Linked DNA regions of Rattus norvegicus. The protein of the gene in region 5 purifies or fractionates together with the protein of the main gene of each other region. This does not show direct contact. Links are inferred from orthologs where the notes say so. Each region holds a gene or a part of one and is shown on either strand. Other genes may lie near its edges.

The links.
Region 1: the proteins of Polr3h (region 5) and Polr3g purify together in Homo sapiens (affinity purification with mass spectrometry; 5 studies listed by BioGRID and IntAct, with this or other methods). This does not show direct contact. The link is inferred for Rattus norvegicus from reciprocal best matches to the Homo sapiens genes POLR3H and POLR3G.
Region 2: the proteins of Polr3h (region 5) and Polr3e purify together in Homo sapiens (affinity purification with mass spectrometry; 9 studies listed by BioGRID and IntAct, counting the BioPlex papers as one, with this or other methods). This does not show direct contact. The link is inferred for Rattus norvegicus from reciprocal best matches to the Homo sapiens genes POLR3H and POLR3E.
Region 3: the proteins of Polr3h (region 5) and Polr2e purify together in Homo sapiens (affinity purification with mass spectrometry; 6 studies listed by BioGRID and IntAct, counting the BioPlex papers as one, with this or other methods). This does not show direct contact. The link is inferred for Rattus norvegicus from reciprocal best matches to the Homo sapiens genes POLR3H and POLR2E.
Region 4: the proteins of Polr3h (region 5) and Crcp purify together in Homo sapiens (affinity purification with mass spectrometry; 4 studies listed by BioGRID and IntAct, with this or other methods). This does not show direct contact. The link is inferred for Rattus norvegicus from reciprocal best matches to the Homo sapiens genes POLR3H and CRCP.
Region 6: the proteins of Polr3h (region 5) and Polr3gl purify together in Homo sapiens (co-immunoprecipitation; 4 studies listed by BioGRID and IntAct, counting the BioPlex papers as one, with this or other methods). This does not show direct contact. The link is inferred for Rattus norvegicus from reciprocal best matches to the Homo sapiens genes POLR3H and POLR3GL.
Region 7: the proteins of Polr3h (region 5) and Polr1d purify together in Homo sapiens (affinity purification with mass spectrometry; 6 studies listed by BioGRID and IntAct, with this or other methods). This does not show direct contact. The link is inferred for Rattus norvegicus from reciprocal best matches to the Homo sapiens genes POLR3H and POLR1D.

The regions. Positions count from the first base shown.
Region 1 is NC_086020.1:13,718,988-13,723,170, reverse strand, and holds the start of Polr3g (DNA-directed RNA polymerase III subunit RPC7), read left to right. Parts: upstream 1-1,383; 5' UTR 1,384-2,033; intron 2,034-4,183. Other genes in the region: acyl-coenzyme A thioesterase MBLAC2, read right to left, coding at 930-1,383. UniProt on the Homo sapiens protein: DNA-dependent RNA polymerase catalyzes the transcription of DNA into RNA using the four ribonucleoside triphosphates as substrates.
Region 2 is NC_086019.1:184,921,415-184,923,726, forward strand, and holds part of Polr3e (DNA-directed RNA polymerase III subunit RPC5), read left to right. Parts: intron 1-302; coding exon 303-380; intron 381-2,271; coding exon 2,272-2,312. UniProt on the Homo sapiens protein: DNA-dependent RNA polymerase catalyzes the transcription of DNA into RNA using the four ribonucleoside triphosphates as substrates.
Region 3 is NC_086025.1:10,316,217-10,320,157, reverse strand, and holds the start of Polr2e (DNA-directed RNA polymerases I, II, and III subunit RPABC1), read right to left. Parts: upstream 2,801-3,941; 5' UTR 2,725-2,800; coding exon 2,668-2,724; exon of another isoform or gene 2,588-2,667; coding exon of another isoform or gene 2,555-2,587; intron 1,745-2,554; coding exon 1,570-1,744; intron 617-1,569; coding exon 420-616; intron 157-419; coding exon 98-156; intron 1-97. UniProt on the Homo sapiens protein: DNA-dependent RNA polymerase catalyzes the transcription of DNA into RNA using the four ribonucleoside triphosphates as substrates.
Region 4 is NC_086030.1:32,259,665-32,262,216, reverse strand, and holds the end of Crcp (DNA-directed RNA polymerase III subunit RPC9), read left to right. Parts: intron 1-955; coding exon 956-1,105; 3' UTR 1,106-2,052; downstream 2,053-2,552. UniProt on the Homo sapiens protein: DNA-dependent RNA polymerase catalyzes the transcription of DNA into RNA using the four ribonucleoside triphosphates as substrates.
Region 5 is NC_086025.1:115,309,882-115,313,381, reverse strand, and holds part of Polr3h (DNA-directed RNA polymerase III subunit RPC8), read left to right. Parts: intron 1-1,077; coding exon 1,078-1,164; intron 1,165-1,580; coding exon 1,581-1,644; intron 1,645-2,490; coding exon 2,491-2,692; intron 2,693-3,202; coding exon 3,203-3,256; 3' UTR 3,257-3,500.
Region 6 is NC_086020.1:186,815,170-186,819,335, forward strand, and holds the start of Polr3gl (DNA-directed RNA polymerase III subunit RPC7-like), read right to left. Parts: upstream 2,801-4,166; 5' UTR 2,726-2,800; intron 1-2,725. UniProt on the Homo sapiens protein: DNA-dependent RNA polymerase catalyzes the transcription of DNA into RNA using the four ribonucleoside triphosphates as substrates. Specific peripheric component of RNA polymerase III which synthesizes small RNAs, such as 5S rRNA and tRNAs.
Region 7 is NC_086030.1:13,084,005-13,087,069, forward strand, and holds the end of Polr1d (DNA-directed RNA polymerases I and III subunit RPAC2), read right to left. Parts: intron 1,193-3,065; coding exon 922-1,192; 3' UTR 501-921; downstream 1-500.

The DNA.
Region 1 (4,183 bases), on a different chromosome or scaffold from region 5:
AGAGACTTGATGTGCTGGGGGTGGGGGAAGGGATACCCAGGGGGCCTCCACCCTCCCAGAAGGGGAGACGGGATGAGGGAGTCTCTGTGAGGGAGGGAGCAGGAGGGGGGAGTAGCTTTTGGGATGTAAATAAATAAATCCTAAGGCAAAAAATATAAAATTGATATACCAAGTATTGCTGTTGTCGCTAACCAGTTCAATTAGTGCAGTCCTGCATGGGGAGAAGGGGATTGGGACCCTACTCTATCTTGCTCCATTTTATCAATTTCTTAGGACCAAGAGAATGAAGTCTGCATTAATTAATGCACACACTTTATCCATGGGAAACAACTCCCTTATTGATCGTTCTTAGGCCTCGCTCTCATCCAGACCAGATAGCTGTCATAATTCTACGTTCATGTCCACCATCAAGCCTTTTTTCTTTTTGAGAGGCAATAAGCAAACAAATCCATCTGAAAGGTAAGGATGGACGAAAGCTCTCTAAGTCTACAGGTGAGACTGAGGCACTCTGCGGTGAGCAGTGCGCAGGCAGCAGAAGTCAGCAGTTTTCAGAGCACAGAGCCTAACACTCTCCACAAGGTGCCATATCTTAAAAGCCTACTCGTTACAAAAGCTGGAAATGTTCAACTGGTACTTGGGAAAAGAATGGAATATCTCCAGTCACAAGTCTCTGCAGTGTAACTACCGTAGCCGACTGACTGGGGATGGTGTGAGCTTTCAAATAAACAGCCACACAGTAGCAGCGCGCATCTCCTGGCAGAGAAGACTGAGTGGGCCTAGGCTCTGCCCAAGCTGGCTTTCACGCAGCAAAGGGTGAGTCAGAGTATTCCCGCACGGTAGCCCAACAGTGCCACGGAGGTCTGCAACAAGCTGTACACGCTCGCCAAGCCCCTCCCTCAGAGACAGCGCGCGCCCCCGGGACCTATTACCATCCTGCAGAATGAGGGTGGGTTGCACTGCCTGCACTCGGAATTGCCTGGCCCTCCAGCCAGGGCTGGGCGCCCGCACCACCTCGCTGTCAGAGAGCCAGGTCACGGTCTCAAAGTTGTCCCCGCGAGCCAGGGCCTCGGCTTCGGCGCGGTGCACAGCCACCTGGTCGAACTGATAGAGCCCGCCGGAGTGATCAAAGTGCACGTGGGTGGCCACGGCCAGCAGCGGCCGACGTCCTGCATCCTCTTTGGCACCACAATCCTGCAAGAGGCCGGAGGAGTAGAGGTACTCCGGGAGGCTGCGTAGCCCCAGGCCCGTGTCGATCACCACGTCCTGCTCCGAGCCGCGCACCAGCCAGATGTTGGCCCGGTTGCCTGACTCGTAGAACCGTTCTTGAATCCAGAAGATGCCATCGCCCAGAGACTTGTGGGCATACCACTCGAGTGCCGACATGCCGATGCGCAGGGGTGCGGCCGGGCAAGGTGGGTGTGCCTCCCACAGGCAGTCCAGGACTCGCCGCTGCTGCAGTGAGCGAAGAGCTACTCTCAGCTCCGGAGGAGGCGCGATCGAGGGGCGGGGATGCGGAAGGGAGCGCGGATAGGACGCAGCGACACTGCCCAGATCGCCTGTTCCTCGCCCTCCCGTCCAAGCCGCAGAGCGCAAAGACTGCACCCCAGCTGCCGCAGCTTCTGCAGCTGCAGCACCAAGGCGGTGACACAGGCCGCTGAAGCGGGGCGGAGACACCGGGCAATGCTGCCCTGCTCGGGGTTCCGACTGCAGAGGCCTGGAGGGATGCGTGGGAAGAGACAGGACCGCCCCCACACGGGCCGCGGGCGCTGCGCACTCGTAGCGGGAGGCCAGAGTGAGGCCGAGCCAGTTGGAGGTTGACTACGGCGCCTGCCAAGGGCTAAAAAGCTCCTTTCCGGGGGTGTGGCCTCGTAGAGTGGGCGGGGCTTCCAGTGCGCTACCCTGAGCCGGAGCCGCGTGCGGTGAGGTTCTCGCTGTTCCGGAGGTGGAATCTGCTGCTCCTTGCTGGCGCGACTGCCAGCTTTCCTGCCACCATCGCTGCACAGTGTGCCCAAGCCTCGAGACTTGGTGAGAAGGTAACTGGAAACTATCCCGGACTGGGCTGGAGGTGAAGAGGGTAGAAGGGAGTTGATGGGGCACGTGGAGAACGTGGTGGTCCGATAATCTGGAGCCAAAATTCATCAAAGCCCCTCTGGAGTGACTTTGGGCTGTACCCCTACCTCCCAAAGCCTGCTGCTGCCGGCTTCCAAACCTTTAAAAGTTTTGGTAGCCAGATCTTCCAGCCTCACGCTGGAAGTTTATCCTTTTACAAGAGAAGACTTTGCAAATCCGGGGACTGTGGTTTTTGTTCATGTAAAGTTTGGCGGCAGTTTGGCTAATAAGGGCATACTTATCATCGCTTCTTTTTTCTTAACTGTTGGCACCTTTGATAGTGGGGAGAGGGGCTGGTGATAGAATTTTTCTTTAAGGAGATCCTAAATGCCCGTCATAGTTCTGGGTGTTTCCTTGCTCTTTGAAGAGAGCAGAAAAGGTTAGAGCTTAAGGCAAGGCAGAGATCACTTTGAGGGGACAGGGAAAGTGGATAATCACTGGGTGTGGCCTTGCAAGCAACCGAAATCACCCCCACTGTCAGTATCAAGTCCCTGTGCTTGCACCCCAACCATTAGCTACCGATGCATCTCTTTCAGATTCAGAAATTCCCTTGAGAATTTGACTAACCTTCAGAAATTATAAAGAGACCCACGGGGACAGCATTATCAAAGATAATTAGCAAAATCCTTCCTGTGGCACATAAGTCTTTCCTGGAGGGAGAGATGCATTCTTCCTACACTCCCAAACTCTCCAGTGGGTGTGGGAGCAGGTCGCTGCTCTTTTGAGTATTTTGCTAATCTCATCTATTATTCAATTATGCAATTGGGACCATTCTTAGCACTAGTGCCTGAACTAAATGATGTGTGACAAGCAGAAAACTGTTTAAAGAAAAGTCTGATTTGAGTTCTCAAGAATCTGAGGAAGCTGACACTTGTACACAAATACTTGTTAACTAATGCATCATGAATGCAAAAATTGGGTTCTGCCTAAGAAGGTGTTCTCCACAGAGAAACACAGTGCCCTCTTTACTTTATGCTTCTGCGGCAGAAGGGAGGCACTCGGTAAGATGGCACAGTGTTGTTCTGTGGTCATGAGCTCAGAAATAATTCAGTGATGATTATCCAGCTTGTGCCTAGCTCTAGAGGCCTTTGGACCTACAGTTTCTGATGACTCTTTTATTCTTTTCAATATGACTCTGTTTCTCATCTTAATTAAATTTATGCTCAGATAGTCCCAAATGACTAGTTTATCTGGCCTGGTTCCTGCTTCACTTTCACACCATCTGTCAGGCTCTGACAGGTTCTCCTGTCCGTGAACTCCATAAGCGCAGAGACATTATTTTGTTCACCTCTCTATTTCCAGCAGAGAGGATGGTTTGACCCAGAGGTAGGGTTAGGGTTAGGGCTTCATAAAGACGCCAGTGGATGGTCAAAGACTCTCCCTGGGGAGGCAGAAAACCAACAGTCAGTTACTTGGTGAGAAGCAGAAGTTAAATGTCCTGAGCTTTGTTAAACTGAAGAGAACAGTATATCGGAAGTGTAAAGATTTGCCTTCTATTAAATTGACAAGAGTTTGGTTGAGAATGATAGGAATCTGGACATAAAATGTCTAGCATGTTTCAAAGGGTCAGATGAGCAATGCTAAGGCCTGAGCTAATGCAGAAGAAAGGAGAAGACTAGGGAACACACAGCTAATGGTCATTCTTCAGAGAGATACTGTGACCTGGCTTTTGCTGTCTCCCCTGACCTCCAGCTAGTTGAACATTTACTCATCTCCTTAAATGTGTAAGGTTGTGTGTACACGAGGATGATACATTTAAGTCACAATCATAACTCATGACATTTTAGATCTAGGAAGAATTGTAGAGATGAACTCACCATTTTCCAGGTGGTTGTGTTTGGAGATGGTTAGGATAGACTTTGGTCTCTTGAATAACGCCCATTTTTAAATCTCTTGGAACAGATTCCAAATGGGAATTTTGAGGCAGCGTTCTGAGCTGGAAGGGGCAGTGCGAACTTGTCCATGTTGCATTTTAAATTTCAGATTTGGGGGCTGGAAAGATGGCTTAGCAACAAAGAGCTCATGTTACTCTTGTAGGGGATCAGAGTTCAGTTCCTAACAACCACACCAAGTG
Region 2 (2,312 bases), on a different chromosome or scaffold from region 5:
AACATCCTGTTTTAGCCACACTTCTTATGCTGCCCTTGTGGGAAACAGCTGACCGGAAGCCCTGAGGAATGCTAGGGAAGAGGAGACTTTAGAGTAGAAGTCCAGGTAGATGCCTCAAAGCAGCATCACACACACTAATGCCATCCCAATACCTGTTGTCGCACTGTCATCTCAGAGCCAGTGAGTGGGAGAACTAGGCTTCGACCGCTCTTGCCTAGGGCTGGGTTGCAGGCTAGGTGGGTTGAAGTGGGCAGGGCAGCAGATCACAAGGCAGAGAAATGACCAGCTCATGCTTGGGCCAGTTTCCCCCACAGACTGCTGCTTCCCCTGATGAGCAGAAGGTATTTGCCCTCTGGGAGTCTGGAGACATGAGTGACCAGGTGAGGTGCCTTTTTTTTTTTTTTTTTTTTTTTTTTTTTTTGTCGTCTTTCTTTTTTAAGAGCGGGAGTCCTAGAAGGTTGAGGCTATTAGAATCTTGACACTAGAGTATAGTTGGACATGTCAGGTTTTCCAGTCACTCCAAGATAGGCCATGTGTGCCAGTGGTTTGCCCCTGAACTTGGGTGGATGTCTGTCGAATTAGAACAGTATCACCTTTGAAAAGATGACTGTTTCCAGCAGTATGGTGGCCTCACTCTGAGCTTTAGAGCTCTATGATAGTGATGCAGGCAGGCTTGGAAACCACGTGCAGAGGAGAGTTCTCAGTGGCTTTTTTATTAGCTGTCTTAAACCTGGAGTTTGGTTATTTTGTTCTGCGATCCTGTCTCCAGTGTTTGGGTAGTTCAGCTCTGGGAAAGAGCTGAGGTCCAGATGCCTTTAAATCATGAACTTGCCTGAATTCCAAAGATTAAAGTGTTTTGGTTTTAGCAGACATGCCAGTCAGGTTGAGACAGGAGTGAATCCTGTTGAAGCCTGTTTCCCTTTTACTTGCCAGGGGGACAGGAAGGCTGAGAGCAAGAGTGGGTATGAGGCCTCGCTTCTAACAGGAGTCCTGAAGTGACCCTGTTTTTGGCCAAGAAAGGTAGCTTGAGGCTTTCCTACTTAGCTTCTCAGATCACTAAGGGAAAAAAAGTAGTAAGTTCATTTAAAACTGAACAGGGCCTAAAGAACTGTGGGGAAGCTGACTCTGCCCTCAGAGGTGACCGATTGTTTGTGACTGTGAGCCGATCAGTGGTTACCACATGCTAGTGCACAGAACATGTTCATGCTGCAGTTACTGCTTCCTCTCCAACATGTGGGGCTAGAGAGCCAGCTCAGGCCTTCAGGCACCTTCTCTGCTGAGCCATCTCACCGCTCACTTCCTCTGTGCACTAGTCTGCTGTTCTGACCCCAGCAGACCAGCAGCACGACTCCTGTGGAATGTGAGGACACTGCTTCTCCATGTGTGGCTCTTCCTGTGTCTAGAGTCTTAGCCTCTGATGGGATATCGACAGCGTTCTTTCTTTCTGCCCTCAAGTACTGCTGGTACTAATAGAACTAAAATTTTACAGGGCAAATAATTTCCCCCCGTTAGGAAGAGGGTATCGTAATCATTTCAAAGTTGAAATTCAGTGATACTCTTCTCGTGAGATCTTCCCTTAACTGCAAACTGCATGGCGTATATTGTTCCCTACACTGGTAGGACCTTGATGTATTCTGAATTCTTTATTTACTAGACAGTTGGGCTCTTAGAGAATCCTGTAGGCTGATAAATTTCTTTACCTTTTTGAATCCTTATAGACATTTGAGCTATTAAACCTACTAGATGTCGTCTTTGCCCATTTTTTGAGACCAGAATTTTTCACTGTAGCCCTGACTGGCCTTGAACTCATGCTGATGCCCCTTTCCCAACAGGGATTGTGAGGTGTGTGTGAGTCATCACCCTCTGCAGTCAGTTTTCATTCTTCCCTTCTGTTTTGAGGATGGCCTTATTTGTCCTCTGCTATTTAATGTCTCTTTAGGAGTTTGGTGCATTTTCCAGTTTCCTGGATTCAGTGTTATGCTTGTGTCTAGACTTTGAACCAATTTAGATACCTTTCCCCCACCCAGTCTAAACTAGATGCTTCTGCTCACTTCCTTGTATGTCCAAACTGCTCATCCTGAGTTCCTTCACTGAAGTCTGCAACAGTGACCAATAGGTCGGTCTTGCTAATCTTTAACCAGGAGTGCTAAGCCACTAGACACTGCAAGGTGGGGCCAGCGCCATCATTTTGGATCTTTTGTTTGGGGATAGTTCACATTTGGGATACTATCACTATCGAACTAACACTTTTTTTTTTTAAATTAAATAAAGCATCGACAGGTTTTGCTTGAAATATTTTCCAAAAATTACCG
Region 3 (3,941 bases), about 100 Mb from region 5:
AAAATAAATCTTAAAAAAAAAAAAAAAAAAGAGGCTACTTTGTGCATATGGGCATATAGCCTCACACGTAAAAAAAAAAAAAAAAAAAAAAGGATACTATCGCGCCAGCAGTTCCGTCACCTCCTCCTTGGTCATGACCACGTGCTCAGGGACTAGCTGTGGAAACAGAGACCCACCCGCGGCCATCAGAAACCGACAGACTCAACAGGCTAATGGGTACTGCCACAGGGCTGGGACAGAGGACACAACCAGGCTACTAATATCACCAAGTTGGATGCTCAAGGCCACTGCACTAAAACTGGGGAACGACCCTGCCCAGCTTATGAATGGCACGGCCTGAGACTGGGAAGATCCAGGGCCCTCCCGTATCCTGTCCAGACCACGCCATGCCACCCAGACCTTCCCTGGGACACACGCACCTCATGTTCTGTGATATTGATGAGCAGCTCCTGCTGTAGAAACTGTTCTAGCACGTACTTAGGGGCCATGTCTACCAGGGACTGCTTGGCGGAGGGTGTCATGCCCTGCTGCACCACGATCAGCGCCCGTGTGATGTTCTCCTCCTGCATGCGCTGGCAGTACACCTTGATGGTCTTGATGCCCACCTTGGGCTCCTCTGCAGGCACACAAGTGTGACCCTCACACCCACCACTAGAGTCCCTGATGTCCTGCTGCCTGTGGACTTAGCTTCTCCACTCACAAAGGAAGACCAGAACGCAAAGCCAGCCGCGGTGGGGCTATCACGGGGCAGCCATGGCGGAAGAAAGCTGCACTGTCCGCCCCTCCTGATCCAGGGGGTGAAATTCTCAGCAGCTCTGAGATTTGTGGAATATGGTATTGTCAGCTTGGGCAGCCTCAAGGAGAAACTGTCTGACCAGGAGGTGGACCCTGTGTCTAACATGGGGCTAAGCCTTCTCTCCTCAGGCAGAGTGGGGTTTACTGGAGCATTAGGACGCAGAGCACAAGAGCAGGTCCAGGTCACCTAGTCACCTAGTCTGCAAATTATCGGACCTTATCCAGACTCTACACACCTTTTTACATTATGATAACAGTGGCAAAATTAGTTAGGAAGCAGCAATGAAAATTTTATGGCTGTAGGTCACCACAACATGGAGAGTCCCATTGTCGGGAAGGCTGACAGCCACTGCCTTACATAGTTCTGGCTGTCCTAGAAGTCACTGTGTAGCCCAGGCTGGCCTCGGCTGCCTGCCTCCGCCTCCTGGATTTATAAACACATGCTACCATGCCCATCCCTGCACCCCCAATTCTCACACTAAAACCCCAGGCCCCAGGCATCAACATCAGGTATTAAAGGAAACAAGCTGCCTGCGGAGACTGGAGGAGCTGCAGAGCACCACAAACCTCCGAGAGCCGCCTGGGCCTCAGACAGCAACTGTAGACTACAGCAACAGGAGCAGGGGGACTGAGCACTGGTCTGCGGACTCAGGGGCAAAAAGGACACCGGTGAAATGGAAGCTTCCCAGGGGAAGACAGGGACAAAGCAGGCAGCTGCCACCAGAACTGGAGGCCCCCAGAGGATGCCACTACTGCCAGCCCAAGGACCCTCACCTGGGAAGAAGACAAACATCTGGTCTGTGGGATCATCGTTGTGGGCCACCAGCACGGTGAGGTCTGTGCGCCTCGGCCGTCCTTCGCTGGGCTTGTCCCCAAACTGTGCCTTGAACTCTTCAAGTGTCTGGTCCAGCTCATCCTGGGTCACCAGGTAGCCTCGGTCATGACACAGCTGTAGAGAGAGAAGAGTACTCAGCTAGAGGACAGCTGGGGACTAACACTGACTGACCCGCAGTACCCAAATTCTGCATAGGCTGAGACTACAGAGGCCCCAGCCAAGCCTCCTCCCTTCCCTCCAGCCTCACCAGAGAAGGCTGGGGTCAATGACCTGGCAACCTTCCTGTCTTGGACCCTCCTAATGAGGGCTGAGAACAGGCCTGAGGAGGCCTAGATCAGGTCCTGGGCTCCACCCAACACAGCATAAATTAAAACTATTAATACCTCTTTCTCCACTGGGGTCTTATCTACTCAACTCGAACAACCAAAATGTCTTCCTTTTTTCCCTTTTCTTTCCAGACAGGGTTTCTCTGCGTGAATGTGACCCTGTCTATCCGGGAAATTACCATGTAGACCAGGCTGACCTCTAACTCAGAGATCCGCCTCTTTCTAACTCCAGAGTGCTGGGATTAAAGGCGTGCGCCGTCATGCCGGCTTGTTTTATTTTTTTAAATAGCTTCTTTTAATCCTACGTGTGTCCAAGAGACCAGAAAAGGGCCACAGATGCCCTGGAACTGGGGTTACAGATGGTTGTGAACTACCATGTGGGTGTCGATGGTGAGGCTCCCTAGTACTGAGGAAACCATTCGTTCCCAACACCCCGTAAACCAGGTGTGACCGTGTAGCAGCCATGTATCCCGTTTCCGAAGCAGAGAGTCCAGCTAGGACTTTTCCTCTGGGGCAGGGGGAGGAGGCTGAAGCAGGAGGATTGCCAACAACTGAGGTGGGTGGACTCCACACTTTAAGAGGGGATGCATCCTATTACCTGGGAGGCTGAAGCAAGAGGATTAGCCCCCATTGGAGGCTGGGCTGAGCGGACAGACAACCGCAGTTAGTCCACAGCTCAGCGCTCGCTCAAAACCTCCCCATGCAACTCGCCTGCATGATAGTCTTGCGGATCTTCCACAGCCGATACGTTTCCTCCTCGTCGTCCATGTTGTCGCACTTCACAAACAACTCTGCACGCGCGCTCGTAGACCTACCAGGACTGAGCCTGCGCGGGACAGCATAAAGTGCACGCCCCCAGCACAGTGCGCCTGCGCGGAATGCGGAGAAGGCCCCGCCCAGGTTTGGTTTAGGTGATCGCCGGAATACACCAACTTTCCAGGATAGGTTGAGCGGTGGGCAATCCCAGCATTTACCGCGGCGGTGTCTGCGCGAGATCGCACACGGGAAGATCGCGCGATACTTGACCTGCCTTAGTATTTTCCCACTAGGCGTTTGCAAAAGAAAACTTGGCTGTAGTTCACGCCTTTAATCCCGGACCGAGGCAAGCAGTCGATGAGTTTGAGGCGAGCCTGGTCTATAGCCAGGGACATCCTGTCTCGAAAAAGAAAAGGAAAGAAAGAAAGGGGGAGCCCGATGATGAAAAGCCAGGTTCATGTGCCTCAGTTTCCCTTTTTATATAAGTTTTTATTAATATATTTGCACTTTGTATGAGAAATCGGATTCCAGCGCCCCCAGCCATCTGTAACTCCAGCTCCAGAGGATCTGGGGCCTCTGGCCTCTGGGTATGTCTAAACCCACATGCAGACCCACACACATGATTAAAATCCTAAAAACTAGAAGGAAAAAATGGACATATAGGCATATAGACAATCGACAAACAAGTGTGTATGTGGTGGGCTACTCGTGCTGCCTTGAAAGTTAGAATGTAAACCAGGTCTCAACAGCGCAGAGCATGCCCTGCCTCTGCCTCCGCAGTGCTGGGATTGAAAGCTTGTACCATCGCAACTGGCAAGGGCTGTCGTTGGAAATCTAGATGCGGACTGTACCCTCCATTCTGTCCTGATGTGAGTCTGACTGAGGTCTACAGATCATGACCGGTTCTGGTATGGAAACTTAGGCTGATCCTGACTTGGAAAGACAAGTTTTGGCCAAGGGCACCGATCACTGAACCCACCATATGCCCTGTAGACCAGGGCTGAGGGGCTGTGGTTGCTACAGTTGGCTAAGAGCTGTGGGTGCAAAGTAAGGGGATGTGGGCATGGGGAATGAGAGAGTTTGAGGGGCTGGAGAGATGGCTAAGTGGTTAAGAGCACTGACTGCTCTTCCAGAGGTCCTGAGTTCAATTCCCAGCAACCACATGGTGGCTCACAACCATCTGTAAAGAGATCCGATGCCCTCTTCTGGTGTGTCCAAAGACAGTGACA
Region 4 (2,552 bases), on a different chromosome or scaffold from region 5:
GTTTATTTTGCCTCATGGTTTCAGATTCAGTCCAAGTATGTATGACCCTGTTGCTGTGGGCCTGTGACAATGATCATGCCATGAACTGCTCACCTCGAGAAACTAGAACCAAAGAATAAAAAGGCCAGGGTCCCAGCATCCCCCATCCCTCCACCCCTGGTATCCTTAATCCTCCCTCTAAGCCCCACCTACTAGCAGTTCTAGCAAACCTTCCACACACAGCATTTGAGGGACGTTTAAGAGCCAAACCACCATGTTAGCTGGCGGCTTTCCGCCTGGGAATGCCAGGCTGAGAGTCCAGTTCTGCTTCTTGCTAAGATTATAGTGAGTGTTGTAAGATTATAAAATTCCTAGTGTGGCTCCAGCACACAGAAGCCCCTACAGAGTTCTGGTGAGTGCCAGGGAAGGAGAACTAGTCAAAGATAGAAACTGTGTATCCCACGAGAGCAGCATCCAATGAGTGGGTGATACCACTCCAGTGACAGAGGTGCTCATTGTGAAGTCCAAAAGTTTACCTAGGGCCATGTCACACACACTCCCCCCAACCCCCAAAGGTGAATTTCTTTGCATTTCCGACATAGTCACATATGGATGGGGACGGAAGTAGAATAGTTAGATTTCCCTTCATCTAATGAGAAACAAGGTGGGCATGGTGGTGGTGGCACACCCTTAGCTCGGGGGGTTGAGGCAGGCAGATTTCCGTGTTGGAGACCAGCCTGGTCATAGACAGAGAGGCAGATGGACAGACAGACAATCGGCTTCACTGACTCATTTTGTGATTCTGTGCCTACTCTGGCTTGAGCTGGGATTTGAACTGGTTTCATCCTACTGTGGATCTTTGATGAGGCCCAGGCTGGCTCAGGACCAAGTGCTGGGCTGCTGTGGCCTGTATGGCTGGGGCGGGCTGTGATGGGAGGCTTACTCCTAAACCCGACACGCATCCTTTCCCTTGTAGATGGTGGAAGAGAGTGAAGAGCGGCTCACGGAGGAGCAGATTGAAGCTCTCCTGCACACTGTCACCAGCATCCTGCCTGCAGGTCCAGAGGATGAGCAGAGCAAAAGCACTAGCAATGACGCGGCAATGGAAGAGGAGGAGCCTGCATAGACATCTGTGGCCATTATGACACAGCTGGCCAGGTTGTTCGTGATGCTCAAAGCCACAACAGCCATTTCCTGGACGTTCAGAGAACTGTTTATTCGGCCTGACCCCTCTCTCAAATATTCCTGATCTCAGGATTGGTTGAGAAAAAAAATCACAAAAATAAGATGAAAAGAAATCTTTGTGCCTTGGGTTCAAGAAACATGGGGTCAGAGAAGGGCAGAGGGCTCGAGATGGGGCAGCATGGCTATGCAGCCCTCTGGGTAGAAAGGCTTGTGTGGCCTCTGTCGCACTTGTACACAGTGGGGAGCTATTCAGGCACTTTGATGACTGTGTTGTAGGCAATGTCAGGCACCGCCATAGAATGGAGCTGGGGAACGACCTCAGACGGTCTCGAGCTCCCAGAGCTGCACACAGCTGCTCCAGGGGAAATGACCCAGGGCTTAGCTCACGGTAGAGGAATGTCCTCGGCAGAGCAGGAGGCAAGGAAAGGAGATAAGAGGAAACTGCAGTCTGAGCCCAGCCTGGTGTACATAATAAGGAACACACATGTGAATATACCTAACACACATGCGTGCCACACACACACATACAAAGAAATTAGTCCCTTTTCTGTGGCAAACCCACAACTCTCTGGCCTGGGTGAGAGACAAGGAAAAGGCTTATTTTGACTCCTGGTTCTGGTCCAAGGTCAAAGGGCATCTGGGTATGGCCCTCTTGTTGCCAGAGTGCTCAGGTAGCATTGGCTAACACATTACAAAACATGAGAAGCGTTTGTTTGTCTTCAGAGTCTCTTGTAGCCCACATTGACCAAAGTTCATTCTGTCTGAAATCGTCAGACACTTTCTGATTCTTTGGCCTCAGTCTCCTTAAAGCTGGGATTCAAATATATACCACTCACTTAGGAGGCAGAGGCCAGCCTGGTCACACAGCAAGTTCCATGCCAGCCAGCGTCACACAGTGAGACCTTGTGTCATAAAAACAAAAATAAATAAAACAAAAAACCAAAATAGTGTGTGTCACCATACCTGGTGTGTATGTGTCTGTGTGTGTGTGTGTGTGTGTGTGTGTGTGTGTGTGTGTGTGTGTCTGTGTGTGTGTGTGTGTGAACGCAGTGCTCCCGTAGGACAGAACAGCATGGCGGTTGGATCCCCTGGAGCTGGAGTTAAACAGGATCTGCCCAAGGGCTGGGCAGTTTACTTGGTGCTTTGCACTGAGACATTTCTCCAAGTCACAATAGGATCTTGCTGTGTGGCTCAGACTCTAGACTTCAGGCAAGATAGGCCTGACCTCCCATACATCGTTCTGTCAGGCTCTGGCTACCAAAGTCTCTAGTAGGGAAGAGCAGTGGTTAGTGACTCCCTTAAGTGTGTCCCTGAGTCACCAATGGAGACACTGAAATGTGGAGACATCGAGAAAGGAGCAATGGCTTGAGGACTCAGCCAGCAAGCTG
Region 5 (3,500 bases):
GGCCTTGTCTGAGGCAAGATGTAGAGCAGTGATTCTCAACTTGAGGTCCCAACTCCTTTGTGGGTCAGACACTTACATTAGGATTCATAACAGTAGGGGTTGGGGATTTAGCTCAGTGGTAGAGCACTTGCCTAGCAAGCGCAAGACCCTGGGTTCAGTCCTCAGCTCTGAAAAAAAGAAAAAAGGATTCATAACAGTAGCAAAATTACAGTTATGAAGTAGCAATGAAATGATTTTATGGTTGGGGAGGGGGTCGCCACAGCACGTGGAACTGTATTAAAGGGCCACAGCATTAGGAAGGCTGAGAACCACTGCCTTAGAGTCTATCCCTGGCTGAATGAGCAGGAGAACTGTGTGGTTGGGACAGGGCACACAGCCTCTGAGCTGCCTCCTCTTCCTCTGTATGGTAGAACATGGCATCTGGCACAGGAGGCTCATAGGCAGTGATGGCAGAGAACATCTTTCTGGGTGACAGGGCCAGTGAGGTGTGGCCTCTGCTGAGGCCAGGAGTCATTCTGGTGTGGTACAGCTTTAGCCAGCCTTTTCCTTGGTTCAGGTGAGTGGAGAGTGCATAGGACAAGGCATGGGAACACAGGAAGGCTTTCCCCATGTCACCTCGCCAGGCAGGCAGCCTTGCATTTTTAGTATCTGTCCCTGGTCTCCTGTCAGCTTCTGTGCTTGGGCGTCAGGTGACAGGACCTTCCTTCCAAGCCTGGCCAGTTGCTTCTTTCCTTTTGGAATGTGAAGAGCAGCCTGAAGGTCGTTCGGAATTGACTTTGGGGGTCACTCATGGCCCAGAATCTAGGCTCAGGTATGACTGAGATGGATTTGGAAGCCTCAGTTCCAGGGCAGCAGCTGCTGATGGTTCCTTATGGGGACCAAGCTGTGGCCTTGCATAAGTGAGGGAGGCTTTGTTCTCTGGCTAAGCAACAGGTCTAGGCCTGCAAGAGGACTCAGCATGAAGCACTGGCTAAGTGCTGGCAGTGAGGCGAACATTGGAGAACGTGAGCAGCTCCAGGCTCCGTGGCCTTCTTGGCAGGCCTGGTGTTACTACCACAGTGTGGCCTTCTTTTCTAGTGCATTTCCGATACGTGGTGTTCCACCCTTTCCTGGATGAGATTCTCATTGGGAAGATCAAAGGCTGCAGCCCAGAGGGTGTGCACGGTAAGGTGCCCTGACTTCTGGGGCAAGACTGGGACGCAGTGGGGTGGGCATTATGCTGACCACGTGGTCCAGAATCCAGCTGAGCCTCTCCTATGGCAGTGGAGGGGCTGTCAGCTGCAGAGCCATACTCTCAAGGAAGGAGTCAGGGCTTCAGCTCTCCTGTAAGGCCACAGCTTAGTAGCTGAGAATGGGTGCTGAGCTGGTGGAGGTGACGGGCTCCCTGAGAATGCTGGGAGCTGTGTGTCTGGAGCTCTGCCCAGGGCTGCTCAGCCCATGTGGGGTAGAAGGAGGGCTTTGAGGAGGGAGGGGACAGACTGCCCTGGAGACACCTGGGCCGCATGGGAGAGGGACTTGCCATCTCTGCTGGGCTTTCCCTTTGAAGCCTCATTCTCATGTCATTTCTTCCTTTCTTCCAGTCTCTTTAGGGTTCTTTGATGACATCCTCATCCCCCCTGAGTCACTGCAGCAGCCTGCCAAGTTGTATCCTCTCAAGTGTGGTTTGGAGCAAGTGGACAGCCAGCCCCATTACTGTGGTTCCCTGGCCTGTGATCTGTCACCACTGGTGGTGCTTGTGTGAAGCTCCAGGCCACCTCTGCCTCCCATCCTGCCCAAGTCTGTCAGGCTGGGTGATATAATAGAGCCCTACGGCTCCTCAGCCATCACTTCACTCAGGCTGTCTCTGCAGAAGTCACTTCACATGTCCCCTGCAGCTTCACCTGGCAGGTGGTCTCTGCTTCTCTTCACCCCCTGCTGTGGGGCTGTTTCTTTTAATGGGACTGTCACTGGTCCCAGGAGGGGCTCAGGTGGTTGTCACAACTGCACTCATGGTCTGGGCAGAGGGAGATGTGCCACTAGAGGGCAGTATGGCTCTGTAGGCGCTAGGGGAGGAGTAGAGCAGGCACTCGCCTCTCCTCTCACCCAGGCCTGTGCAGGCAGCAATACAGGCTACATGAGACTGTGGAATCGTCAGCAAATCTGGCCTTGGTTTATTGTTTCTCCTCCTTCCTAGACAGGTGGCAGTCAGACCTGCCTCTCTTGAGGCCCGGGCAAGCCCCATGATCTCTGTCTGCCTGTCAGATTAGTTATGAGGATTAAAAGAGAAATGCAGGGCACCTAGGTCAGTCTCATCCTAGAGGTGGGAATAGAATTCTCATTTTGGGTCCTGGTACAAACTGGCTGCTCTCCAAGGGACAGAAGCAGCTTTTACTGTATTTCCTAGCGCAGATAGTCTCAACCTCAGGCTGGTTTTAACCTGGGTAAGTACTTCAGAGGACCCGCAGCCTCGCGCTCCCATGGCGTGATTGTGGCCTTGACCCTGGACTCCAGTGATGAAGCGGAGCAAGTGTGGGTGTGGGAGTATGAGACCGAGGAAGGAGCTCATGACCTGTACATGGACACTGGTGAGGAGATCCGCTTCAGGGTGGTGGATGAGAGTTTTGTGGACACATCCCCCACAGGACCCAGCTCAGCCGAGGCTGCCTCTTCAAGCGAGGAGCTGCCAAAGAAGGAAGCACCATATACACTCGTGGTAAGCTGACAGGAGACTGCTTTCTTGAGGTTTCAGGTCGTCTTCTCTGATTGTCATCTGTCAATCACACTAGTCTGCTTTTGAGGGCTGGGGCCATATGGTGACAAGATTGCTGTAGATGATGGGCAGGCAAGGTAAGAGTTTGGATATCATGATCATCTTTAAGGGACAAAAACCAACAAGAGGCTAGAGAGATCAAAGCTGAGACTAGAGCAGGGTTCCAGGAGAGTGTTTTTCAGGCCCCTCCCTCTGCAACTTTGGGAGCTCAGAAAGACAGGTCTGGGGTCGAGGAAGGGTTCCCTGATCCCACTTGAGGCTTTGGAGCCTCTTTCCTAAAAATCTGGTGAGCTAGGGCATACGTAGTGATCTTGCTCTCTGTCTCTCCAAGCCTCCCGACTGTTGTGAACCCGGCCTTGCTTTGCCTGTGCTGGCCTGCTAGATGTTGAATAGGGTGAGGGCAGCCCAGCTCTGAGTGGTGATGAGTATACTTGTGTTTTCTGTCTTTGGCAGGGATCCATCAGTGAGCCAGGCCTGGGCCTTCTCTCCTGGTGGACCAGCAACTAGCCCTGGAGCTCCCAGTGACTGCCCAGCCTGAAGACTGTGCAGACCTGTGAAAGTAGAGAGCAGCTGGCACTGAGTGCTGCTGGAGCCAGGCTTGGTGGGACCAGGAGCAGAGTGACAGGTGCTTGTCCTCTTCCTCCCCAGCACTGCTTCTCTGATCTGGAGCCACCCTGAATCGTTTTCAGAGTGTCATGGATCCAGGCTGGCTTCTCACTTGCTGTCTAGCATAGCATGGAGCTTCTGGTCA
Region 6 (4,166 bases), on a different chromosome or scaffold from region 5:
TCTTTGGCTCCACAGTGAGTTTGGGGCCAGCCTGTAGAATTCACTACCTTCCTCTGACCTATGCACCAGGGCACACACTCCACCCAGGCCCACTAACAATAAATACGGTTTTTTCTCATTATATAATATTTTATTTAAAAATTTTGCCTTTTCAGTGTACACTTTCTCATTAGCAACTCCCACGGTGGGAAGACAGTTTATTACTTAGTCTTACATTTTTTGGACAGCTCATTCGTGCATAACTGAGATACATTTGAAGAGTAAGTCTGTTTGCAATCTGTCATATTTGAACCCACCTACAAAGGAGAACTCCCTAAATTGAACTTCCCAAAATCTAACTTTCCTTGATTTCCTTCCTAAGACTTAAAACGTCAGTAACTGAGGGCATCTCCTGATTAAAAGTCCCCTAGAAACAGAGCCACCAACAGCTGGGGCCACCTGAACAAGAGTGGAAGGTTCCAAACAGAATACTGTTCAATTTCATGCAAAGTCTGACTCATGAATGAACAGTGCTCCCTCCAGGTCTGAGGAGAGAAGTCTACTCTTATCCTGACAGCAATTAGCTGGCTCTCCTTAAGAAATTGTGATCAAAGGCAACATGAGCCTATGAAATGTTCAGTTACACGATGAGTCACGTGAACTGGCGTCCAGACTCAGTGACTATAGGACTCAGACTCACGACTGAGTGAACCTAACTCCTCAACAAATAAATTCTGAAAATAGCCATGTAATTAGAAGACATTCTGCCCACCAACGGATTTACCGTTCATCCCCTCCTCATTGTGAGGTGAACAGCATTGATAAAGCAGAGGCAAGGAGGCATGCAATCAAAGTGCTACACCAAGAGGTCAGAGCTTCCACAGCATGGCAACCGCTCTGCAGATGCCTACATTGTGGTAATTGAAGTAGCAAAGCCCAGCAAAGGTCAAAGCTGAGACTGTCCTCATGAACGTAGGCAGAAACCACTTGTCCAAGGCCCCAGTAACTGTGCAGGGTGAGGGTTGCAGCCAGAGAGTAGTCCACCACAGAGCAGGGATTCAAGTACCCAGCTGGAATCAGGCCCAAGAGCAAAACACTGACAACCCTCTCACTGGTCCAGTGGAGAGATGCAGCCTTGGAACCAGACTGGTGGCTTGGTGACAGGTGAATGTGCTGGGTGCCATGCCATCCTGGGGTAGGCTGGTCCTGGAGAAATGTGGACACAAAAGCAGGTCTGACTGCCCAGTTTCGGAGTAACAGAGCTCGAGCTCCTTGGCCACTGCAGAGAACGCCCAGCTTTAAGAGGACCGCCATGTCGCTTTTGAGGGCTCCCAATAAATAAGTTTAAGTTGAACAAATACAAAGAAAAAATAAAATAGTGGCTGGGCCTGAAAAGAGCTGGTGAATTCTCTTACTAAAGATGCTGGCTCTGGAGTAGGGGTGTGGTTCAGGGGTAGAATTAATGCTTAGCATTTGTAAGACAAGATTCATGCTTCTCAATTTAAAAGAAAAAGTTTATTTGGGGTGCAGTGGTACAAGCCTGTTATCCCAGGAAGGCTGAGGCAGGAGGATCATAAGTTGGAGGCCAGCCTGCTTGTCCTGCATAGGAAAAAACCTGTCTCAAAAATATTTTCCCACATACTCAACAACAATTTATTGGATAGATGTTATCAGAGGGTTCACTATGATCCCCATTGTCTAACGCTGTGTCTGGGATGTAGTAGGTGCTCAGCAAATTCCTGTTTGAACAGGAGTCTAGAGACCCTGTGAGTCATAAAGACTCCCTTATGGTTCTTATAGCTGATTTCCTTCTCTGGTCTGAGAATAACTATAAAACATTAATGCAATAAACCACCAATTTAAAGGCCTTTAATTATATACTATGTTGTCTTTTATTGTTCCCTAATTATATTAGGAGTTTAAAACTGGTTCCCACAAATCAATTCCATTTGATGAACGCTTATTGAACACAATGTATTAAGTACCACAACCTGTCCCATCAAACCTTCGGTTCATGGAATAGAAACATCAAAAGAGAACGTGTAATCCTAGCACTGGGGAGACTGTAGCAGAGGAATGCAAATTGGAGGCCAGTATAGGCTACACAGCAAGAGTCTGTCGGTAAAAAGGATGGGAGGGATGGAGGGAGACAGTGAGCCTCATGAGATACTAAATACTCTCTTTGCCAGGTGGCCAGGAAAACAGATTGATTAGCTCAAGTTGTCCTCTGACCTCCTTGCGCAAGCCATGGCGCGCACGCCACCACCACCACCACCACCACCCCGATAATAAATGTGATTTTAAAAGTTAAATAGATTTCAATAATGATAATCAGACATTGTCAGGCTGAGGATCAGTAAACTCTTCAAGGAGGTCTAGAAAAGCAGTGGGTAGAGGGTAGCGAGCGGTTCAGTTGACTTGATAGGTAATAAGAATCTGCCAGGCTCTTGACAGGAGGTTAATGTTAACAGACGTGGAAGAAGCTGATACCATAGAAGAGTCTGAGCTACAAGAATGAGCATTCCTCTCCTGTTTTAATATCTGTCCCCAGGCACGACAGCAAGCTGTGTCTCTGGTGTACAGTCAAGACAGCAGTGAGAGCCCGGGAAGAAAGGGGAGGGATTCAGAAGGGGGCTAGTCCAATAGGCTGACAGAAAGCGTTAACTACGTTGCTGTCTGGCGCCGAGGGACTAAATCTGGAAGTACCGAACCAAACCCGGTCAGAGCCACCAGGTCCAAGCCTTACCTGCCGTCCCTCCCCCACTCGGGCCCACGCAGCCGCCAACTTGAAATTTGCTTTTCTTCTTCCAGCCCGCGTTCTAGGCCCGCCTCCCTGACCTCTCCATTGGTGGGTTTTCCTAGCCAATCAACAAGAGCGGAGGCGGGCAAGGAGGGGTGGAGGTGGGAGCAAGCCTAACCGGAACTGAGGCTTGGCAAGTAGGGCGCGCTGAGACCTGGGGCTGCAGTGTTCACCTCTTCTGCCCAGACGGAACCGACTCTGGATGGCAGGAGTCGGCTAAGATGACCTGCTCCTCAGAGCACTTCCAGGCACGTAGCTGAGCCAGAAGAGAATTGCTGCTGGGAAATGTAGCCTTGTGTTAGAGAGACCAGACTGCTTAACTGTTAACGGCTCGGCCAGCAGGAGACTGGAGTTAGTTCCCAGAACCCTCCAGGAGGCTCCCAACCGCCTCCAGCGGTCTCCAGTGGAGACTCCAGCGTCCTCTACTGGCTTAGGACCCCTCCCTTGCCCCCCCCCCCCAACTCCCCAGCGTCAGTCTTTTGGTGACTTTCCGACCCTCTCTTTCAGCACTACCAATAAATACTTAATCTTTTTTTTTAAAGATTTATTTTATATATGTGAGCACACTGTAGCTGTCTTTAGACACACAGAAGAGGGCATCAGATCCCATTACAGATGGTTGTGAGCCACCATGTGGTTGCTGGGAATTGAACTCAGGACCTCTGGAAGAGCAGTCAGTGCTCTTAACTGCTGAGCCATCTCTCCAGCCCCCAAATACTTAATCTTTAAAAGATTTTTTTTCCCTAAAGACAGGTTCTGGCTACTCAGTCTAGACTGGCCTTGAACTCTTGATACTCTTGACTCTGCTACCGTGGTCAGGCCCCAAATGCCCAGTCCTGTGAATTGTTGCTATGTCTGAGAAGTGGGGGAGGGAAAGGCTCTTGGGATCAGAGAAGTCACTGGGGAGAGAAGGTGGGAATCCAGTGGGCTTTTTTGTTTTTTTCTTTCTGCGCTTTGCACTGCCCTTCAAGCCCCTTCAAGGGAATGGTGTGGAGTAGAAAGAGTCATCCTGGGTTGGGGATTTAGCTCAGTGGTAGAGCGCTTGCCTAGCAAGCGCAAGGCCCTGGGTTCGGTCCCCAGCTCCGAAAAAAAGAAAAGAAAAAAAAAAAGTCATCCTTTCACGGAGTAGAAGTAAATGGAAATACTTCAGGATGGAGATAAAACTAGGAGTTAGTCAACATGAATATGCCAGAGGTCAGAGAAAATGCTTGTGGATGACACATACTCGGTTTTTGGAATAGTACAAAAACATAGCAATGAAACTTTGGGGAACTTGCTTAACCTGATTTGTTGCAAGAAGACAATAGTTCCCACCTCATAGAGTTCTGAGGGTCGGAGATGATGTACGTATGCAAAGCACTCAGCACACTTCAATAGCTAGTAAAAG
Region 7 (3,065 bases), on a different chromosome or scaffold from region 5:
TCAGAGTGTTATTTGTGTGTGCGTGTGTGTGTGTGCGCGCGCGTGTGCACATGGAGGTCAGAGGTCACCCTGTAGGAGTCGGCTGTCTCCTTCTGGATAGGTTCTAGGGATTGAACTCAAGTGACTGGCTTTGTGGCAAGCAACCTTACCCACTGAGTCATCTCCCTGGAGCAAACGTTTTTGGTTTTGTTGTTGTCTTTAAATGAAAATGAGAAGAATCTGCAGCCACGAAGTAGACGTTCACTAATATGGAAGGCCGGAACTTGGGGGAGGGTGCCGGAAGGTTCAGGAGGAAGCAAGTGTTGTTCTCAGTAAGTTCCACACAGCTTTAGCTATGGCACACATCCATAGCCGAGAGTCTGGGGAGCAGTGAAATGGGGCACAGTATTAGCCTATACTTGCCCTTGTGCCTGCTTCTCCGAGTGAGCGCTGACTGGCAGCATGGCGGAGTCCCTCAGACTGTGAGCTTAGCATCTGGTACCCAAAAGAGGAAACCATAGTGTTTTTAAATATTTTATTTATTTTTTGAGAAATTCTGGGAAATGACCACAAAAGTGCAGTACATCAAAAAACTAGGAGTTTCTAACAAGCTCAAAATCTCAAATTCTAAAACTCCTTGTTTGAAACGAACTTCAGGTAAGGTAGATAAAGACAACATCGATGTGCAGGGCAATGCGGAATCAGCTTGCTCTCACCACGACGCCTTCAGGATAAGGTAGTTACGATTTGCTTTAGTAAAGTTTTTCTTTTCCTGTTAACAAGAGCAACAAGAACAACAACACAGTACCAAGAGACACCGTAAAACAAAGGACCCACTGAGGAAGTCACTTTCGGATGTCAGAGCCCGCCACCTCCCGGCCTCCTTGCCTCGCTGCGCCCAGTGGCAGGTGCAGTACGGGCTGGGCTGGCCCTGCAGCCATCTCATCGCCGGCTGGGCCTTGGGTCACACTTGTCCCGGGAGGCCCGCTTCCTTGGAGGAGAGCAGCCCACTGAGCCCCGGGCTGAGTGAAGGCTGCGCTTGTAGGAGTGGCTTCTGTGTTTCTTCCCACTTGTTTCCTTCTGGTCTTGACTTTTGCCAGGCTCCTTACTGCCCTCTTTTTGTTCGTGGTCTTGCTCTTTATGGGAGGGCAATGTGTTCTTAATTGTGTTAATAAGGAATCTTTTATTCGTACCAGCGAGAGGACACTTCATCCTGTGGATGTGAAGAGGGAAGAAGACATCATAAATGCAAGAGTTAAATTCCCTCCCTGTCTGGCCCACGAGCCAGATCAGTACAAAAGAATTCAGGCCCCACAGAACCAGTTCCTGAGTTTGTCTGGCTTTCCTTGCCATACAGTGCTGGAGCAGGAGGACTGCCATGATTTTGAGACCAGCGTGGGGTACCAGGTCAATTCAAGTACCAGGTCAGCCAAGGCCCTGGAAAGGTGGCGCAATGGCCCTGTGCCTGAACGTTACAGTGCTACCTCATCAGACTCTACAGTCCCCACAGCAGTCACACCACAGCCCGGCAATGGTGGATTTAGGGAAAACTCACCACAGTCTAAGTGTCTAGCTACCAGCAAGCAGGGAAGCAACTGCAGGCAGAAGTGTGTCAGTGCACTTACAGCTAAGGTTCCTTCCAGCAAATGAGCAGAGGCACATACAGTGAGGGGTGACTGGCCACTCAGGGACACAGGACAGTCACGGCATGGACAATGTTGGAGCAAAGAAGCACTGACTGACTCAGGTGAGTACAGCATGACAGACAGGCCCTGGCGAGTGCTGATTCCCAGTTATCTTTAGAGCAGACAAGAGGGTGCTTGGTCATAGAGCAAGAGGCACGAAATGCAGCTCGCTGCCCCTGTGCTGCAGACAAAGCCACCACACCAGCAATGGCACCCCATCTTCTGCTCCACATACACCCTTTGCAATACAGAGGCTACAAGTATGGAGACTACGAGTCTAGAATGAATGGAAGGTCTGGGGCAGGGGCAGGCCCTCCATGCAGTGAGGTGACATTTATCCCGAAGCCATGGTTGACCACAACTCATGTCGTTGTTTAATACCGCCACAGCTACTATAATCACCCGTGGTAGTTAGTGCATTACAATCTGGCAATCAAATGCCTCAGCGTGTGGCCATCTGAGAAATGACACTCCTTCATTATTTACATACTCCCAAGGTTTACCACGTCCCCAACACTGTCCCGAAAAGGAATGTGAAACACTGGATGAATATATGCCTGTGTCAAATGCATATGTAAAAGCATTTACTATACTTAAAACCTTATGTATGCGGGACATTATACTAGGCCTGTGCAACAAAGATAAGCCAGGCTCTCAGTGGGCGATGTCTGCTATGAGGGGACAGAAGCAGGTGGGCATACAAAGGGTTGCTGTGCGGACTGAAAGCCCCAGGGCTGCAGCACATGGACCACTGGTACAGACTGTGACTGCACAGCAGTCCACTCAGGACTCCAATTTACCTTCAGTACGGACAGGAGAGGGAGGTGGCCAGCAGGACCAGGAAGCACTCACTATGCTGCAGAGTGCTATCAGGCAAAAAGAGAAGAGCTTGGCACAGGGGCCGACGATGCTTCAGTCCCTCGGCTGGAGGTGGGGTGGGGTCTCAGCAAACTTCTCTGGCCCCATAATTTTAAAGCACAAGAGAGAGACTGGATTTCTGTGGTTCTGAAATATGGCAAAGGGCTTATCTATGACAAATGTACAATCCTCCCAGCCTCCCCGCTCAACTGAGATCACCTCCTGTTTGTCTATCCACCAGAGCGTAAAAAAGCCAAAGGCCAAAAAAACAAGTCTCTTTAACTCTTTCTTGTGCCTGGCTGCAGGAACTACCCACTGGCAAGCAGCAAGTCCGCATGGAGCAGAAAACCGCCCGTCTCCAGGACTGGAGAAGCGATCTCCTTTCTGATACTCGACCCGCTGGGGATGTCGCTGTGTGTGGGTGGGAGGCTCTGAGAGTGAAAAGCTGGTGGCAGAGAGTAGCCGAGATGAGGTAGGCCTCTCCTCTCTGCCTGCAGACAACCTGACCCCCTCCGGAATGCACCCAACACCTACTGTAAACCA